Linked DNA regions of Danio rerio. The protein of the gene in region 2 purifies or fractionates together with the protein of the main gene of each other region. This does not show direct contact. Links are inferred from orthologs where the notes say so. Each region holds a gene or a part of one and is shown on either strand. Other genes may lie near its edges.

What was found.
Region 1: the proteins of akirin2 (region 2) and psma5 purify together in Homo sapiens (affinity purification with mass spectrometry; 3 studies listed by BioGRID and IntAct, with this or other methods). This does not show direct contact. The link is inferred for Danio rerio from reciprocal best matches to the Homo sapiens genes AKIRIN2 and PSMA5.
Region 3: the proteins of akirin2 (region 2) and ipo9 purify together in Homo sapiens (affinity purification with mass spectrometry; 3 studies listed by BioGRID and IntAct, counting the BioPlex papers as one, with this or other methods). This does not show direct contact. The link is inferred for Danio rerio from reciprocal best matches to the Homo sapiens genes AKIRIN2 and IPO9.

Annotation. Positions count from the first base shown.
Region 1 is NC_133186.1:38,737,396-38,741,053, forward strand, and holds the end of psma5 (proteasome subunit alpha type-5), read right to left. Parts: intron 3,270-3,658; coding exon 3,167-3,269; intron 1,018-3,166; coding exon 931-1,017; intron 831-930; coding exon 753-830; 3' UTR 481-752; downstream 1-480. UniProt on the Homo sapiens protein: Component of the 20S core proteasome complex involved in the proteolytic degradation of most intracellular proteins. This complex plays numerous essential roles within the cell by associating with different regulatory particles.
Region 2 is NC_133195.1:2,814,069-2,817,826, reverse strand, and holds the start of akirin2 (akirin-2), read left to right. Parts: upstream 1-1,490; 5' UTR 1,491-1,794; coding exon 1,795-1,972; exon of another isoform or gene 1,973-2,368; intron 2,369-3,758. UniProt on the Homo sapiens protein: Molecular adapter that acts as a bridge between a variety of multiprotein complexes, and which is involved in embryonic development, immunity, myogenesis and brain development.
Region 3 is NC_133186.1:26,936,782-26,940,439, reverse strand, and holds part of ipo9 (importin-9), read right to left. Parts: intron 3,623-3,658; coding exon 3,471-3,622; intron 3,307-3,470; coding exon 3,208-3,306; intron 3,119-3,207; coding exon 3,012-3,118; intron 762-3,011; coding exon 622-761; intron 529-621; coding exon of another isoform or gene 526-528; coding exon 366-525; intron 1-365. UniProt on the Homo sapiens protein: Nuclear transport receptor that mediates nuclear import of proteins, such as histones, proteasome and actin. Serves as receptor for nuclear localization signals (NLS) in cargo substrates.

The DNA.
Region 1 (3,658 bases), on a different chromosome or scaffold from region 2:
CCTCAAATGCGTGGCATTTAGGCATGGGTCAGTATAAGATTCTGCTGGTATGATGACCTTGAATAAAAATATCGCGGTTTCACAGTATTGAGATCACTGCTATACACCAGATGCTTTATAAATGTCTGGGTAAAAACAAGAACTTTTTCCCCTTTGAACACAGGATATTTTATTTTAAGAAATATTTCAAATGAATCATTGACTTCTGCGGCCTTCATTAGTTTAAAATGGCATCTTTGGATATCTTTTCTGTTAAAGATACTGCCGTCCTAAAAAAAACTGAAAACAAAATGTAAAAACTTTGGCAGAATATTTTGGCAAGTTTAAAACCTTGACTTTTCCAAACCGCGGTATACCTTGAAAATGGTTATCGACACATAACAAGTGACATTACATATATATCTTTATAATTAAATTAGCTTTTATTTTTATCAGCCTATAAGTGAGATACTCAGAGGAAAAAGAATTATTGAAACACCATTTTCAACAACAGTTTATTAACGCAGTGATTGGTAACAAAAAGAACCCCCCAGTTATTTCAATGACAATATCTGCTGTCCTGTGCTTGTACAGAACTATAGAAATTTTGGGACTGACAGAAGGAAAAAGAAAAGTATAAAGATTCGATTCCCGTCTGAACAGGCAAACCCTACAATGCAGTCAGAGTATTATGTATCCATTCTGCTGTGTGATGATTCACACAAAAATTACACTGGACTTTTCATATTGAACATCTGTTATGCTTAGCACGTTTAGATATCCTTGATGACATCCTCCAGCTCTTCTTTTGTGTACATGTGAAAGGTTTTGCCCGGCTCTACTGTGGCAAGCTGCAGGGAAAGAGAAGAAAACAGTCATGACTTAGAAATATGTTTAAATTAAATTATATTTCATATGACCAACACCATGTGATCGCTTGAGCATTGTTACCTCAATATTGGTGGCATTGAGTTTCTCCTCCATCACTTGTTTCAGGATAGTGAGAGAAGACTTAATGGCATCCTTTAACGTCATAGACTGGAAAAGACAAAGACGTTTGTTTAGCGGGAGGAAAAAGCAACATCCATAGTGTAACTTGTGGAATTTTGCTTGGAAGCAATTAGATTTATGAAGAAGCCTTTTGGACAGTGCGTCCTGCTTATTAGATTTTAGGGTCACATGGGCAAGGTTACACTAGTAGAGGCATGACATACTGGAATGGGGAGATGGGTGGGGTGGATTTAAAAAAAGGACTCTTATTTTCTGAGCACAGGGCTCCAATTTGATCTGTAGGGTTCTCTCGGGAGAAACACTTTGCTCTGTGAAAATACCATCCGGAAATAACCTAGCTGTGACATTGGGGATCTGATGGATTTCATTTAATATGCATATGTTTGATATGCAGTACAGAAACAAACACAAACTAATATAAAATATATAAGCTAGAAGTGGGGCCAGGGAAAATGTGGATATTGTTTGCTATTATATTTTTCTGCTATTATTAAATAAAAAATTGTGGACTTGGGCAGAAAAACTTTGAGAGTATAGTAACTAAAAGCTCAACACATTAAATAATACAAAATACTTTTAACTTTAATTTAAACGTTGTAATACAGATACAACTAGAACAACTAGTTTGGTAGACAAAGTACAACTTAAATTGTACATAAATCATACAAATTTGCATATTATATAATAATATTACTGTAATTAATATAAAAACTAAATTTTGTAGTAGGGCATTATAGTGACAGTTGGTAGCACGATCGCCTCACAGCAAGAAGGTCGCTGGTTCGAGCCCCGGTTGGGTCAGTTGGCATCTATGTGTGGAGTTTGCATGTTTCTCCCCGTGTTCACGTGAGTTTCCTCCGGGTGCTCCGGTTTTCCCCACATGCGCTATAGGTGAATTAGGTAAGCTAAATTGCCTGTAGTGTATGTGTGTGAATGAGTGTTTATGGGTGTTTCCAAGCAATGGGTTGCGGCTGGAATGACAGTATGACAGATTGCTGGCCACGATGACAGTAGATAATATTTCACTAGATATTTATCAAGACACTTCTTATTAGCTTAAAGTGACATTTAAAGGCTTAATTAGGTTAATTAGGTTAACTAGGCATGTTAGGGTAAGTAGGCGAGTTATTGTATACCAATGGTTTGTTCTGTAGACTAAAGAAATTGCTTAAAAGGGCTAATAATATATGTATATGAGCAATATTACATGAGTAGCAGTGCGATATGGCTGTATATCAGCACTGGTGGGGGCACTAATGCACTCGCCCTGCGGCCTCGTGTCATCGCACGTCTTCCACCAGTGCCGATATACAGACATATCGCACTACTACGAGTGTGATATTGCGTTTATACAACAGTTTGACGGCATAATTGTGTATATAAAAACAAAATCAAACACGGAGAGTTTCAAAAACACTTTTGTATGTGGAACTACTTTCTTCCACATTTGATTAAAATCATAAGCTGACAGTTAAACAGTTGAGCAAGCATCTTTTAAACTTTAGATCTGTAGTGTCTGCTTTTTGCTGGCTGTATGTGGGCGGAGTAATACACAAAGGGTAAAGAGGCTGTAGGAGTTCTGATATTGCAGAATATCGCACGGCTATCAGCCAATCAGATTTGAGAACCAGAACAACATTACATTTATACAACAGTTTTGTCTGTCAGATCTGTCTGGTTCTCAAATCTGATTGGCTGATAGCCGTGCGATATCCTGCAATATCAGAACTCCTACAGCCTCTATACCCTTTGTGTATTACTCCGCCCACATACAACCAGCAAAAAGCAGGCACTAGAGATCTAAATTTTAAAAGATGCACGCTCAACTGTTTAACTGTCAGCTTATGATTAGAATCCGGGAAAAAAAGTAGTTCCTCATGCAAAAGGGTTTTTTAGACTATCCATGTTTGATTTTGTTTTTATATACACAATAATGCCGTCAAACTGTTGTATAAACGCAATATCACACTCGTAGCAGTGCGATATAGCTGTATATCGGCACTGCCGATATACAGCCATATCGCACTGCTACGAGTGTGATATTGCTCATATATATATATATATATAAAAAATAAAAAAAATAAAAAATGTGGGAGTATATAGCCAAAATGAGATCAAAAATTGATGATGACCTGCAGATAAAAGACCAAGATGTTTATAAGCAGTTGGTATTTACCTTGTGGTAAACCTCTTGAAGAGAGCTCTGAGCGCCTTCAGATGCTGAGCCGATTGCTCTCGCGTCACACTGGACAAAAGTGCCTGAAGGATCCATGTGGTATCTGTGTATATAAAAAGGTTGGTGTGATTTATAAACACTTCACAATGTAATCAAGTCTTTATGAATAAATAAAATATATATGAACAAAATCACCAGGTTAGCTGTTCCTTTATATATAATATATATATATATATATATATAATATATATATATATATATATATATATATATATATATATATGTTTCACACATTACATTAAGGGCGTTTTCAAACTTGTGCAAATGAACTTTCCAAAAAATGGATTTCGATCTGTATTTATGCAGGTCACATGCAACTGGTGTAATTGTTTTGTGTAATTATTTTTTGATGCATCTCAATAGTGATGTGAATGATTAGATGCTTAAAAACTATTTTTATATATATTTTAATATAAATAAACTTTGCTATAT
Region 2 (3,758 bases):
TCTCTGGACAAAAATTTTAAACATGGAGCAATCGCTCGCTTTTAAAAATATCAAATCATCTTGTTTAATTCTGCCCCTTTTCGCAGCCCCTCACGACAGAATTTCGCACGCACAAACTCTAGTGTGACCGTAGCTTTAGTTTCGACTTCCCGCCCAACTTAACAAGGGGGCGGAGCCAATAGCTCCCCTGCTTTGTGTTTGGCAACAGACAGGCAGACAGAGAGAAGGAACATGAGTGTGAGGACCAGCATTCAGCGGTACATGTACGACTGGGACACAGACCAAGCAGAGAATACAAAAGAATTTGTGTCTTTGTATAGTTTTGCAGCTAACCGTGTGCTAGTTTACAGTTCCGAGCTTGTACACCGAGACTAACAACAACGCACGCTGAATTAACTTTAACTGAGGCACTGGATGTGCCGTTTAGAGCCGTGACAAGGCACACCAGACACGCACATTCGCATGTTATTTAAAATTAACCTGCGGGTCGCCGAGCAGCGCTTCTGGTGTGCGACCTACAGGCAAGGTCATTATTTCCAATACGGAGACGCGCACTTGAGGCAATGCACTCACGATTTCCACCTAGTTAAGATGACAGGGAGTTCCTGTGACCGCAGGAAATGCAAACGGCTGAAGTTTAAGATAGACGCAATGAAAAGTACACAAACCCACCTAAAGTTAGAAACAATGGCGCCGATGAGCGATCATGTGGTGAATGTTGATCTTGTGTTGAGCCCAATGAGCCTTACATCTAAAAACAGAGCAGGGTATTCCTTTGGTGGCATCGCTTTGACTCATACGCTGAAAGTAGCAGACGTGAAACAACAAACTGTGGATATGGTAATGTGCGCCTGTCAATCAATGTTGGTGGGCGGGGGGACCGAACTCCTACGTTAAGTTGCTGTCAATCTAAAAAACGCTCCAATTGGTCCACCGTTTTTAAGTTGATAAATTGAAAAAAATGACTGGGTGTGTTTATATCCCAACAATATGACAGTTCAAACAGCTTGAAAAGTAGATTTTTCACCCTAGGTGCTCTTATAAATAAATATTGATGAAAACATATCAAACTGTAGTAAAGTTGTGTCGTTTTGAAATGCACTAACGTTATAATACAATGTAAAGTAACTCAGCGTGTGTACATGAACAGATTGGCTTTAATCAACGATAATTTTGTCGTTTTCATAAGAAATAAAGTTTATAAAATGGCATCGTGTTGTGAGGACTGAGGAAACGGTCAGAGCTGTTGATGATGGGAGGAGATTTGAGGGGCTTTTTTCAAATCCACAAACAATCCAAAACCACCAATGGGCGGCTTCACACGGAGAGAATTGCGAACAAGTGTTGTGGGGGTTGTAGTTTTAGCTTACCGCGTTAAACAGAATTGTGGACGAGGAGGAATCCCGCATAAACTACAACTACCGACTTTCCCTGAAAGTCTCCGCGCAGGCGCAAAGCAGCGGCTTCGCCAAATGTTTTGTTTCCACGCCATATTTGTTAGCCGGCTAGCTCTCGCAGGAGGGGCTCCGTCTCGATCCTGATCTGAATCCGCCATCATCGGGGCTTCGTCGTGCAGAATCATCTCCACGTCCGCATCTCTCGCCGCAAAAACGCGTTTATCCCCGCTCAGCCACGGTTTTGGCCTGAAGGTCGTCGCGGAGTTTGAATAAAAACGCAGTGATCGGGACGCGCTCCCTTGAGATCGGGGTAGGACTGTGCCTAGCGGGGGCTCTCGCTGCTCGGCGGAATATTTCTCTTCGCTTTATTTGCTGTCAAACACCAGTTCTCGGTAAAATGGCTTGCGGAGCCACTCTTAAAAGGACTATGGACTTCGATCCGCTGATGAACCCCGCGTCCCCGAAGAGGAGGAGATGTGCGCCCATGTCGCCGTCCAGCTCCAGCGCCTCCCCGCAGAAATACCTGCGCATGGAGCCCTCGCCCTTCGGCAGGGTGTCTTCAGCACTCACCACAGGTCAGTCCGCTGCTCACACACACCCGTCGACCGGAAAGAGGCTGGAAAACCGACTGAAAACCGAGCATGGAGGTGTAGTTTTTCCGCTGTTAGCAGAGCAGCTAACGCTATATTACACATCCAAACACAGGAGCCAGTTTCCTTCTCTGGCGACACACAGTCAATCAATCATCCGTCATCAAACTGAAGTGATTATTAGGCTGTTTCAGGAATTCTGCTATTTGTTATTAGCGGACATTTCCGTAGACTTCGAGTCGTTGCTAGTGTTTTCGGCTCGCCTGCTGATAGTGTTACATTAGAGGAGTATATTGATAAACTCGTAAGTGTGTGTGGATGAGATATAAGGCTGCTCCTCCTGCAGTTTTACCCTATCTCTATGTGGTTATCAGTGTGAATGTTCGGGTTTTTGTGAAGCACATTAGTCAGACAGTCGCTTCCGGAAGTAAACTCCGTTCATTTCCTCTTTGGGAAAGTAGATTTTTATCTATATAAATCATTTAAGAGAGTCCTGCCGTGAACTCAAGATTCTTTATATCATCACATACTCTATACTCGTGTTGATTAGGAGATTTTTTCTAGTTAAAAATGATCTGCACAGAATTTAAAGGGACAGTTCACTCAAACGTCAACATTTCCTTATTTACTCACGCTCGAGTGCATCTGAATTGATTCTCTTCTGTTGTACACAAAGTGAGAACAACATTTCTTATGAATGTTGGAAAACAACAGCCATTGACATTCATAGTTGGAACAAACAATACTATGTGAGTCAATGGCTGTTTTTCCTGAACCCTTCAGAATATCTCCTTTGTGGTCAACAGAAGAAAGAAGCAAATAGGTTTTTAACAAAGTGAATAAAGAGAAATCGCTGACATGGTTTTCATTTATTGTCTGTCTCTTTAACAGATTTGTATTAAAACATTACCCCTGATGAGTTGAGTGCAGGGGTGATGTACTATATTAAGTAAACTGAATTTAAATTGATTATGGAAAATCTGACTTTTTCAGCAAGTGTTAAGGCTGATTTATACTTATGCGTCAAACGCCGGCGTATGCTACGGCGCTGATGCATAGCCCTTCGCCGTGGCCATCGCCGTCACTGACGTGCACCTCTCAAAAAATGTAACTACATGATGCAACAATGCGTAGCGCAAGCTCTGTGATTGGTCGGCTTGGTAGCGCTGACGAGTCGGGGCGGGACCGAGAGCTGCGCGAATGGCGCGAACCCAATGTAGCGATTGTTTACAAGTGTGGAGTCCCGTGAAGGAGCTCCGGATGGAAAGTTTTGTTTTGTGTTTACCTCATAGTTAAAGTTGCTGCACGTCCGCCAGTTGCTGCCTCAAAATGAGCGAGTTTGAGTCACTTGTACATCCAGGAAGTGTTCAGGAAAAGCAAAACAGCAGCGAAGAAACTCGACACAGAGGAACATTTACACCTCACTGCCCACTAGCGTTTCAGAAGTGTTAATGCAGACCAACAGAGACAGCGCGCAGAAGTATGAATGCACAGCCACGCGCGTTGCATGCGCCGTGGGTTACGCCGGTCACTTGACGCAGAAGTGTAAATCAGGCTTTATGCTGTGTTCACACAAGATGCGGCGAGCGCGGGTAAACCACGCTATTTGTATGTACATAGACGCGTGAACATTTCAAGTTTACTCGATTCATTCGCGCGTAACATTCACTTCGTAACAGACGCAAATTCGCATGATGGGTGGGGTTCTGTCTGCCCTGTGACTCTAGCTTCGGTGCTAAACAGCTAACATGGATTTTATTGAAAGAATAGC
Region 3 (3,658 bases), on a different chromosome or scaffold from region 2:
TGAAAATTATATTAATAAAAAGTGTTTGTTATGTAAAAGAGAAATATTATGTGTAATAATTTTCATTTAGAAACAGCCATACTAAAGTATTTTAGAAATAATAATTATTGCCAAAAACCTTTGAATAGCATTGCAAATTAATACTTAAGGCAGTATTTAACAATAATAACAACAATATATACAAATACAATAATAATAAGTTGGTTATTTGGTTTAATCCACATATTAACATTTTTGTGTGTGCATTCATTGCGACATTCAGTGCTAAAACTATTTATTGTGCATTAGTAGAATATAAACAAAGAGGTGCAAATAAAACCACAGTTTCTGCAAACTATTAAATGAAGTGGAAACAGAAGTCTCACCCCCAGATAGCTCTGACGGCAGAGATGCGAACAGAGGGTGGCTGGCTTTCGTGTAACCCGCTCACGGTGGCCTGCAGGAACTGCTGAATGAGCTCTGGAGACATCGCTGCAGTGAATCGACTGGCTGCCCATAAGGCCCGACCCAGCAGGAACGGAGAGGCTGCTGGAAATCAAATAACACATGGATGAGATCCGGTCTTTGTTCTTGGGTGGTTTAAAGTTGTACGATCAAAAGGAATATGTTAAAGGAGGCTACCAGGTAAATTGAGGTCCGCGAGGATGACATTGGCAAGAAATCCATGCATATCGAACTGCACACGACCATTCTTTACATTCTCTGTGATGATGGTTTTGACTGATCCCAGCGCCAGCATGCAAGCTTCATGCACCTTCCACCTGCATAACAGCGGAGAGACACTGATGTGAAGCAAAACAATAAAAGAACAAGTTTGCTTGTGATAGAATGTAAGATGTGTTTATTTTACTACAGGGTTCCCGCTCGTTCATGAACACATTCAAGACTATTAAAGCACCATTATTTTCAAATGAAGCACCTTTTTAATTGCCCCCAGCATGTGTAGCGCTATGAAAATCTTTATTGTATTTAAAGTTAAATTAAATACTGGTAATACTACTATTATCCATATATTTATATGACATATGTTTGTTTTTAAATACTTTCTAACCCTGGAATAAAGATTTCTAAAAATTTAAGCTATTTTACTTTCAATAATTGTGGGAACCCTTTAACTATGACGGGACACATATTTCATGTTTTCATCTGTTTCATAAGTAATTGATTCAATTCACTCACAAATTCAATTCACTTCTATAGATTGAATACAGTACAAACTGGCTTTTATATTGAGTTAGCACTAAATATCAATTTTCTTTTATAAATGTAGCATGGGCAATGTGATTTCATTCAATATATATATTTTTTTAAAAATCATCACAGTATTTCCTATTTTTCTTTGCTTCTGGAGAAAATCTAACTTCTTTTAGTTTTGCTTAAATAACCGCAGTTTAAAAATATATATTATTAGACCCTACAAGAAATAAATTTTTTAGATTGCCTACAGAATAAACCACTGTTGTCCAAAAATTAACCAGCATAACTAACCAAACTTGCTGAATACTAGATCTTACTATAAGAACCGTGTAAATATTATGTATAATGTGTGATGTCATGTGACTAACGAAAAACATGAGTGTCATTACTTAAAAAACCCGTTCCAGGGAGTGGCTAGAGGAGCAAGGGGGTAAGTGAGGGAGCTCTTATTTGTTTGTTGATAGAATCATATAATTCATCCTTTTTGTTTTGTCTTAACATTTGTTAAATTTGCAATAAAGGAAATAAACAAGATGCACATGCAAGATGATTGACGAGTCACTAGTATTGCCATCTGCAAAAGCTTTATCTTTGGGTCAACCGCTACACTTACTATATCTAATAACGCATCTAAAAATAGTCTTTATGGCAAAGACAAAAATTTAGTTATTACTAATTAGTTACTAAAACTATTCTGCTTAAAATAATCTTCTTTTTATTAAAAATCAGTTTGTAAATAATTAAAAAAGGAAATGAAACCAGGGTTTCTGCAGGTTTTACAAAGTCCAATTTAAGACTCTTTAAGACAGTTATAAATGAAATTTCAGACCAACACAGGGCTAAACACTAAAGATTTATCCAATAGCCCTAAAGTTTACTTGCCTCATTCCAAAACAATTCATTCATTCATTAATTTTCTTTTCGGCTTATACCCTTTATTCATCAGGGGTCGCCACAGCAGAATAAACCACTAACTTATCAAGCATATGTTTTACGCAGCAGATGTCTTTCCAGCTGCAACCCATCACTAAAAAACATCCATACACTCTCATTCAAACACATACACTACAGCCAATTTAGCCAATTCAATTCACCTGTACTGCATGCCTTTGGACTGTAGGGGAACACCCAGAGGAAACTCACGTGAACACAGGGAGGACATGCAAACTCAGAAATGCCAACTGACCAAGCCAAGGCTCGAACCAGCGACCTTCTTGCTGTGAGGCTATCGTGCTACTCACTGTGCCACCATGATGCCCCAATCATGATGATTTCTTGGCCGCATATTTTAAATAATGTGTAAAAACAAGCAAACCATAGTTGTATACAAGAACAATTTTAAAACAATTTCTTCTTCTAAAAAAAAACATTGGTAAAGAGAGTTTGGTTAAAAGTTTTTTTTTGAGACAGATTGTTGGTGATTGGAGAAAGGGACATATGCAAACTAAGACTTGTTTAAGACCTTTAAAACAATATTTCAGTAAATTTAAGACCTTTTAAGGCCTAAAATTTAGCTTTTGAAATGTATTTTTAAGTCTCCACAGAAACCCTGTTCACACAAGGGCTAATAATTTTGCCGTCAATTATATACACAGTGTATGTTGCATATATACACAAAAATACAGAGATAAAGGCTGACTAAACAATTACACAAATCGCAGTAAGCAATCTAATCAGCACACTCTTTGATATAAATTCATGTCTATTCCAATTAAAACACACCGGTGCTCTTTAGGATTCCATATTAACTCATCAAATTGAGAATGTATTAAAATAGAGCCACTGATATTTTTGAAAGCAGCATTTGTGTTTACCAGTGCTCACTGCCAGTGTTCTTGGCTTGCTCTGCCTCCTGAAGGTGTCGTGTTGCGGCTGCCGCTAAAGCTGCAGCACTCTCGTTCTGAAATTCAGCAGCAACAGCCTGATAGACAGAAGCAAGCATTAGAGATGAAGAAAAAAAAAAAAAGGAGAACATTCAAACATCCACAAACAAACTCCCAACGCTCTCACCAGCAACAGATCCTGTGCTGATATCCGAACCGAATAGGAGAACGTGTCATCATCCTCATCCTCGACAAACTGCTGTGGGTTGGCCGTCCACACCTTGATCTGTGAGATGGATTTGAATGTGAAGATAAAAGCTATATATATATATATATATATATATATATATATATATATATATATATATATATATATATATATATATATATATATATATATATTTACACACGTGTATAAAAAGACAACACACACTGACACCTCCCACAAACCTGATCCTCCGTGATCTGCATGTAAAGGATGATGTAATAGATGAGTTCCGGTAAAGCTTTCTTCACTGTGCTCTTGAACTTCTTGTTCTCCAAGAGTGTGTGGACAAACTCAAAGATGCTGAAGACGAGGTTTTCAAAGCCAAGGACCTCACCTGTGAAAACAACAGCTCACATTTACATGCACACCA